2 linked regions of the Sus scrofa genome follow. The protein of the gene in region 1 interacts with the protein of each later gene in a biochemical or structural test. Links are inferred from orthologs where the notes say so. Each region holds a gene or a part of one and is shown in the gene's direction. Other genes may lie near its edges.

Evidence for each region.
Region 2: the proteins of SKP2 (region 1) and CCNA2 are reported together in a solved structure, tested with the Homo sapiens proteins (2 studies listed by BioGRID, with this or other methods). The link is inferred for Sus scrofa from reciprocal best matches to the Homo sapiens genes SKP2 and CCNA2.

What each region holds. Positions count from the first base shown.
Region 1 is NC_010458.4:21,462,033-21,466,073, forward strand, and holds the start of SKP2 (S-phase kinase-associated protein 2), read left to right. Parts: upstream 1-1,237; 5' UTR 1,238-1,245; coding exon 1,246-1,253; intron 1,254-1,754; coding exon 1,755-2,026; intron 2,027-4,041. UniProt on the Homo sapiens protein: Substrate recognition component of a SCF (SKP1-CUL1-F-box protein) E3 ubiquitin-protein ligase complex which mediates the ubiquitination and subsequent proteasomal degradation of target proteins involved in cell cycle progression, signal transduction and transcription.
Region 2 is NC_010450.4:102,258,995-102,263,146, forward strand, and holds the start of CCNA2 (cyclin-A2), read left to right. Parts: upstream 1-1,351; 5' UTR 1,352-1,419; coding exon 1,420-1,632; intron 1,633-2,378; coding exon 2,379-2,622; intron 2,623-4,152. UniProt on the Homo sapiens protein: Cyclin which controls both the G1/S and the G2/M transition phases of the cell cycle. Functions through the formation of specific serine/threonine protein kinase holoenzyme complexes with the cyclin-dependent protein kinases CDK1 or CDK2.

The sequences.
Region 1 (4,041 bases):
TAGTACAGTTTGCACAGTGGATTTCGCCCGGTCATCATACTCGGAATATGGCACGCTCTCTAACCATCTCCAAACTCTTCTCCGCGGAGGTAGGCAAAAGCAGCCTGCTTTTCAGAGATTAGGCAATCAGCAGCAGCCGGTCGAGAGAGAGCAACCGATAGGCTTTGTTAGTGGCCCCTAGCGTATACGGATACAGTCATGCTAGTGTTGTAAGACTGCTCAAGGCTGCAAAGGGATGCTCAGCTTTGCCACTGCGGACAGGAACACAGCGGTCTCCTGATCCCCTAAAATTCAACCACCACCTTTGACTCAAACTGCGCCTTCACTTACAAAATGCTCTCACTCATGTTCCTCTGGTTTGACCCTGACGGCGGCAAGATGTGAAATAATCCTTCGTTGCCATAGTGCCTATTTTACAGATCAGGAAAGGATCTTGTCCACAGACCCAATCCTAAGGGCTGCCCTCTCCCGGATGGAGGAAGCAGCTCCCGGCGGAGGGGTAGACACAGGCAGGTGTGACGCCCGCGGCCGCAACCTCTCACCTGGCGGGCGGGGCGGGCCACTGCCTCCACTCAGCGGCCAGGAACGTAGGCCCCGCGGCGGCGGCCTCTCGGGGTCTCGTGGGTCCCTCTCTCGCCGCCTGCACTTGGCCCCAGATCCCAAAATGTCTCAGGCTCTCCCCCCTCAGGCTCACCGTCCGATCTCGCCGGACAGATTCCAGAAGGACCTGGAAACCCCCTGTCCGCCACAGCCGTCTGGGGTCTGGAACCCACGCTCTTTGGCGACGGCGGTGGCTGTCACCAGAAGGCCTAGGGGTTCCCGGGAAAAGAAAACCTGTCGCCCGTCAAGCTGCTGCCATAGCCCGGTCGGCTGGAGCACCGCCCACTTCCGCCTCCCCGCCTACCCTGTGGGCCGTCCAGTGCCGCAACCGCGGGGGGTTGTGGGTATATGGAAGGCGGGGAAAGCTGCGAGGAAAGGAAGTAGTGGCGAGGCAGCCGGATTGCCAGGCAGGGAGAAAACTACAATTCCCAGAAGGCAGCGGGGCCGCAGACGGTAGCGGGGAGGAGAGCGGGCAGAAGTTTTCTGCGCGCGCGGTGGGGATGGAACGTTGATAGAGTTCGCGGGTCTCACTGCTGGGGGCTGGAGCCACACGCAGTGCGCCGCCGCGCGCCAAAGCGGGAATCCGGGAGGCGGGCACCTCTGCAATTAATGCACGCGTTTAAAACTCCCGAACCTGCGGACGCCATGCACAGGTAAACCGTTTGCAGAAAGGGGCAGACCGTGAGTGGACCATCTTAATTCTTTTAGGCCGCGAGTTTTGCTACTTCCTAATATTGTTTGTAATGCTGCAATGTGAATGGTTGCTTAACCTCCTCTTTGGGAAAACGTGGATGGGTGGATGCTTTAGTGCTGTGATCAGCGTGCGATATTATTTGGCTTCCCTTATTGGGCTTTTCTGCTCCTGTTTTCAATCACTGTATAATTGCCCTCTTCTTATCTGTTCCATCCACTTTGAGACATTCTTGAGGCCTTCTGCATGATCGTAAATCAAAAAGCCTTTTCGATTTGTTCGGTGTGTTTGGTTCTTTTTTCTTTCATTCTTGGGAACTCGCCGCCGGCACTTAAAATGCAAGTTCAGTTAGCTGCTGTGAGCGTTTTCGGTAATGCATAAGTTGCAGCTTCCTTTAGGCCTGTTTGGAATTATTCACGGGTGTGTTTTTTAAAGGAACGGGGGCTATTGTGCTTATCTGCAGGAAGCACCTCCAGGAGATTCCCGACCAGAGTAGCAACGTTACCACCAGCTTCACGTGGGGATGGGATTCTAGCAAGACTTCTGAACTGCTTTCAGGCATGGGGGTCTCTGCCTTGGAGAAGGAGGAGGTGGACAGTGAGAACATCCCCCAGGAACTGCTTTCAAACCTGGGCCACCCGCAGAGCCCTCCGCGAAAACGGCTGAAGAGCAAAGGGAATGAAAAGGACTTTGTGATCGTCCGCAGACCTAAGCTAAATCGAGAGAACTTTCCAGGTAAGGTATGAGGGTCAAACTATCGGTGCAGTAAGTGGTAGCTTGAAATATTTTGTTGGTAAACCTTTGTTTAAGGATCATTAGGATGGAGCGCTTTTAAAATTGCCTAATTTTGAAGTTATTTTCCAAAGAGATGAGAAAATTCGTTGCTTTAGAAGTTAACAGAAATGTTGGTAGCTGTATATCTTAAGATGCACAATAGACTTTGAATCCAGGAGAATCCGTTCCTGCCTTTCTCTTTAGGAAGGACTCTGCCTGGTCTAAGGCCAGCTTAGTGCCACTGACAAATGAGAACAAAGAAATGATCCTTTAGGATTCTTTTTGTTTATATTCTGCTGCTCTGGTTGAGGTTTTTGCCAAAATCAACTTTACTTATTTGTCAAGGGATTGCTAAAGTGAATGTTGAACTAGGTGGAAGAAGAGACTTCTCTTCCCGGGTCCATCCCCAAGTGGGCTTATTCTGGTATGCTCTGTCTCCATGACTGCCCGTGTTATCTGTTCAATTGCCCAGCCCCCAAACCTGAAAATCAGTCAGATTCCCACCAACCCCAACATCCATCCAATCATTACATCTTTCCCTTTTGTGTCCTGAATATTTCTCAAGCTGTCAACATCTGAATATTGGAATGGACTCATAATTCCAGCCTTATCCTCCCCAGATCCATCCCCCAGAGCCAGAGTGGACTGACTGAAATGTAAAACGCACCACGTCATTCCCCTCTAATAGCTCTCTGTTACCAGGCTTCTCAGGCAGATGAGTAAGTGCCTCCCAGAGTGGATCCAGAACTCCAGGAGTATGCAAAGCCATAGGGTAAACAGTGCACTGACCTGGGGTTATCAGTTTTTCTTGCTGGTAAACCATGTAAACCATTAATTCAGCAAATATTTGCTGAGCACATTTTATATGCTAGTCATTGTTCTAGGTACTGGGGATATAGCATTGAGCAAAACAAAAACATTTCCACCCTCGTGGAGTTTCTGCTTCGGAGAGAGGATGCAGGAAACATAAATCTGGTGTATGGTATACTAGAATACGTGCTATGGATAAAAGCAAAAATGGAACAAGCCAAAAGGGATTGGAGGTCCTTGGGTGGGAAGCTGGTTTGCAATTTTAAGCAGGGCGTTAAGGGAAAACTTCACTTGGACAGCAAGCTTTAAGCAGAAGCATAAAGGAGACGAAGGAATGTGCCATGCACATACCTTGGGGAAGAGAACCCCAAGCAGAGGGAACAGCTAGTGGAAAGACCCTGGGGCATAGGAATGTCATGTTTTTTCAAGGAACTACGTGGAAGCCATATTCCAAGAGTGGATTAGCAAAGGAGAAGGTAGTGGGAGATGGGCTAGAGGTGCTGTTGAGCGGAGTTGTGACGTGACCTTTTAAAAGGACACACTGATGTGTTGAGATGAAACTGTAGGGTGTTGCAAATAAAAACTCAGAGCCTTGTTGAGAGGTGTGGGAGTGATGATAGGCAGTGGTCAGCTTCTGAATAGATTCGAACATGTGAGTGGACAGAGTTAGGAGGCTTTGAAAGTGTCTGTAGAAGAGGTGATCTTGTTCTAAGCTGAAACTGGAGGTGATAGAAGAAGAGACAGATACAAGAAATAAAGATGAAGACTTGCAGAGTGAGGGTAAATAAGTATATACCTAAATTCCCCATCTGGCTTTCTTTGAGGAAAGGTTGACTGGTTGCTTGCTTGCTTACTTTAAAAAAATAATATATATATATATATAGTTTTTTTAAATTTTTTATTATTACTTAATGAATTTTATTACATTTATAGGTGTACAACAGTCATCACAACCAAATTTTACAGCATTTCCATCCCAAACTTTTTTTTTTTTTTTTTTTTTTTTTGCTTTTAACTCTTTCTTTAGGAAAGAGAACCTTCAGGTTACCGTCTGGGGATCTCTATTAGGTGTTGGATTCATTAGAAAGGCAGTAAAGGATTGTGGTGGAGTCAGACAAATCTGGCTTTGCATCCTCATTCTGCTGTTTACCAAGCCTGGGAAGTTA
Region 2 (4,152 bases), on another chromosome or scaffold:
GATAGCTTCTTAGATTTTCCTGCCATAGTATCCACTGATCTCCTTTTAATCATATATGGGGGGAAATATGACTTTAAGGCTATGGAAGTTTTGTTCATTAATCTTAATTCATATTGATTCATATTCAGGTGAATATTGTACGTAAAGGGTGTTTTAAAATACCGTAAGGAAATAGAAAATAAGCTATTTTTTATGTTTTCAAGAAAGGCTCGCTCACACTCATGAATTTGTTGGAAAACAGTGCTTCTTAATTATATACCATTATAATTATTAGATATGTGCAAGCCTTGTATATTAAATGTTAGAATTTGTTAAGGCACATATTGCTAACAGAGTTTTATTTTAATAAGGTCATATTGTTTTTACTATATTTAAACATTCATTTCTAAATGGAGCACATAATTATATATAGATCACTAGAATTTTACTCTGCTTTTTGTTGGCTACCACAGCTTGGGAAAGAAAGAGATGAACATTAATGACCATCTAGTGGAGTTTTTTTGTAGTACATTACTCTTTGCTACATCTATCAACAGTAGTACAAGGTGGTACTTCAAAATAACTGCATCATCATTAGAAAAATAAAAAGCATGACTGTGCGAAGCACTTAAATGGTAAGATGATGTAGTCTGCCACTTGAGTATCAGTTACGTTAGCAGTGTGTTAAATGACTTATGCACGTTATTTAATACTAAGGACACCTATATAACGCATAAACATTATTACTCCCAATTAACAGTTACAAAACTGAGAATCAACATTGAAGTGCTTGAACAAGATCACCGGGCCAGTAAGTGGGCGGATCAGATTTTAGACCTTGAGAAACTAGTCAGTCGAGCTAACTGGAGGTCCTGAGGCTAAAGGCCAAGGTGGCCCACTAATAATTGTTAAAATTTAATTTAGTTTATTCTAGAGACAGCCCTTGCTCTGAGACAGGGACCCCCTAGTGGCTCCGTTTAAAGTCACAATAAGCTTAGGCCCCGCCTCTTTGCGCAGCGCGGGCGTACTTCCTCCTGCTGCTCACCGACTTTTCTTCGCCCCGCTCCGCCCCTGCTCGGTTTCCTTCGCGGCAGCCTTCACTTGCCTGCGACTGTGTCGCCCAGCGTGACGTCACGGGCCTTGGCCCTTATCATTGGTCCATTTCAATAGTCGCGGGCTACTTGAACTGCAGGAACAGCTGCCGCTCCGGCGGGCTGCTCGCTTCATTCCGGGGGCGTCCTTGACCCTGCACGCCCGGCAGCGCCTGCCTCCGGCTTTTGCAACCTCCTTGGTCCTGCACGATCCTGAGCAGGCGGGCGGGCAGGCTGGCCCGGGCTGTGGCGGGTAGGTAGGGCAGGAGTGTTCCTCGGCGGGTCGGCGGGACGCAGTGCACGCTGCTTGGCGCCGCAGGCTGATCCCGTCGCGCCCCCGGGAGCAGTGATGTTGGGCAGCTCCGCGCCCGGGCCTGTGGCCCGCGAGGCGGGCTCGGCGTTGCTAACATTGCAGCAGACGGCGCTCCAAGAGGACCAAGAGAACATCAACCCCGAGAAGGCTGCGGCCGCCCAGCAGCCCCGGACCCGGGCTGGGCTGGCGGTACTGAAGGCCGGGAACTCACGGGGTCCAGCGCTGCAGCAGAGGCCTAAGACGCGACGGGTAAATGAGTTATTATCTGGAGGAGGGTGGGCCAAGCGGGAGTTTTGCATGGGTTTGGACCGCAGAGGAGAGTGGCGAGGTAGCATCTCCTGGGGTTTTTTCGGGAGGCCAGTGTCGGGGGTCCCTTTGACCTCTGGTTTTCTCGAGTGTGGGATGCCACATTACCCCCATTCCTTTCTCCCATTAGTCTCCCTGCCAGCACTATGCGTTTATGTTGCCTGTCTGCTCTATGGAGAGTATTTTGCTATAGACAATAATGGTCAAACCAAATCCTCCGACGTTGAGTATGTGTTAAGTACGGTCTTTGCCGCCTCCGCGCCTTTCTCTCAGCTTTTAGGCCCCAGGCATTGCCCGGACCTCCTTCATGCTACCCACATAATTAAGAGATTACCTCTACTTTAGAAAAAGGTATAAAAAATACTTTGCTTTTGGACAATTCCGCCATCTTACCGAATTTGCTCTGTTGCTCCACCCTGGGGCGAAAGAGGTAAACCACTTTTTTGCCATTTCTCCTAAATTTGGCATCTTTTGGCCTGCCCCACCACCTATCTTAGCCCTGATTATTTTTGTGTAATCCGTTAGTGTGACTCTAAAACCTCTGCAGGAACGCATACTCAAATTTCCTTGCCTGAATTTTGCCCCATAAAGTTTAATTTTCCTGATAGAGTATTTGGAAGTAAATGCAGTATAAGGGGATGAAAGCCAAATTCCATTTAATAGACTCAAAGCCAGTTATTTATTTTTAGGTTGCGCCTCTTAAGGATCTTCCTATAAATGATGAGCATGTCACTGTTCCTCCTTGGAAAGCAAACAGTAAACAACCTGCATTTACCATTCATGTGGATGAAGCAGAAGAAGAGACTCAAAAGAGGCCAGCTGAATCTAAAAAACCAGAAAGTGAAGATGTCCTGGCTTTTAATTCAGCTGTTACTTTACCTGGACCAAGAAAACCACTGGTACCTCTTGATTACCCAATGGATGGTAGTTTTGGTAAGTTTTAAAGAATATCTGTATCAAATAAATGTAATCATAATTATTGCATAGGTAAGTTTAGAAAGGCTGTGACTTATTTCAGGCCTCACAGTTTATCCATGACCTAGTGACCTACAAAAGGATCTTAATCCTATACTCTCTGGTACACTATTAATCACATCAGTTTTATTAGATCTCAAACACTTACTTTAATCTGACCCTGGACATGTTGCTTGATTGGGAGAATATATTTCAATTGTATTCTTAAGATTCACTTTGTATATACCATTTCAAAGAGTGCTATTTGAGGATGTAGTTTAAATATTGTGATCAGGAGTTCCCGTTGTGGCGCAGCGGAAACGAATCCGACTAGGAACCATGAGGTTTCGCGTTCAATCCCTGGCCTTGCTCAGTGGGTTAAGGATCCAGTGTTGCCATGAGCTGTGGTGTAGGTCGCAGATGTGGCTTGGATCCCACGTTGCTATGGCTCTGGCGTAGGTTGGCAGCTACATCTCTGATTAGACCCCTACCTGGGAACCTCCGTATGCAGTCCGGTGAGGCCCTAAAAAGACAAAAGACAAAAAATAAATGTTGTGATCAACATCTCTTCCAGCTTTAAACTTTTGTTTAAAAGCAGTCTGAGTGATTGACTGACACCAGGGAGGGACATGGTTATCCTGTGAGTCACAGTTGAACTATGCTTTTTTGTACATTACCACATATAATAGATGGGCTCACTAAATCTAGTATATTTTAGTTCTGTCAATGAGAGGTATAGCAGGGAAGTCCTTTGAAAATAAAATAATTTGTGTACTTTTATTTAAAATGTACAGGAGTTCCCTTGCGGCTCAGTGGGTTAAGGATCTGGTGTTGCCATGTTGTGACTGGTTACAGCTGTGGGAGGGTTCCATCTCTGGCCTGGTAGTTGCCACATGCCCTAAAAAGACCAAAAAAAAAAGAAAAAAGTAAAATTTACAACAAATTTTAACCTCAGATTAAACCTTGAAGTAAAAACATTAATAGCTGATACTTTTTGCCTCCAAAGATAATCTAAATTTACAACAAAGAATCTCCCCTTGATTGTAGTGTTAATAGGTTGGAACTGCCCATAACAAATATAATTCTCTTTAGCACACATTAGCCTTCTAGTTACCGTCTAGATTGTGCTTTGAATACGTCAGACTTTGGGGTCTGTAAGCTCCCTTATGACAAATCCTAGGTATTACCTCAAAACTTGATTTTAACTTATTCTGACAGAACCGTTGTACTCCTGTCATGGGAGATGAAGGATACTTTAACAAAATATCTTTTCCTCAAATTCTTTTTCCTGTTAATGGCTTATCAGTATTTTTTTTTTTTTCTTGTTAAAATCATTCCAAAGCTAGGTGGACAGAGGTACGAAAATCAGAGTGAAATCCTCTATGTATTTTGTCATAAGAAGCTCTTTTTAGTTGGATAAAATAAATGCTTTGGTAGTATGGGACTCCTTACAAGGACAATCACTTTTAGCTTTAATTAGATAGAAAATTAAAAGTAACTTAATCTTAT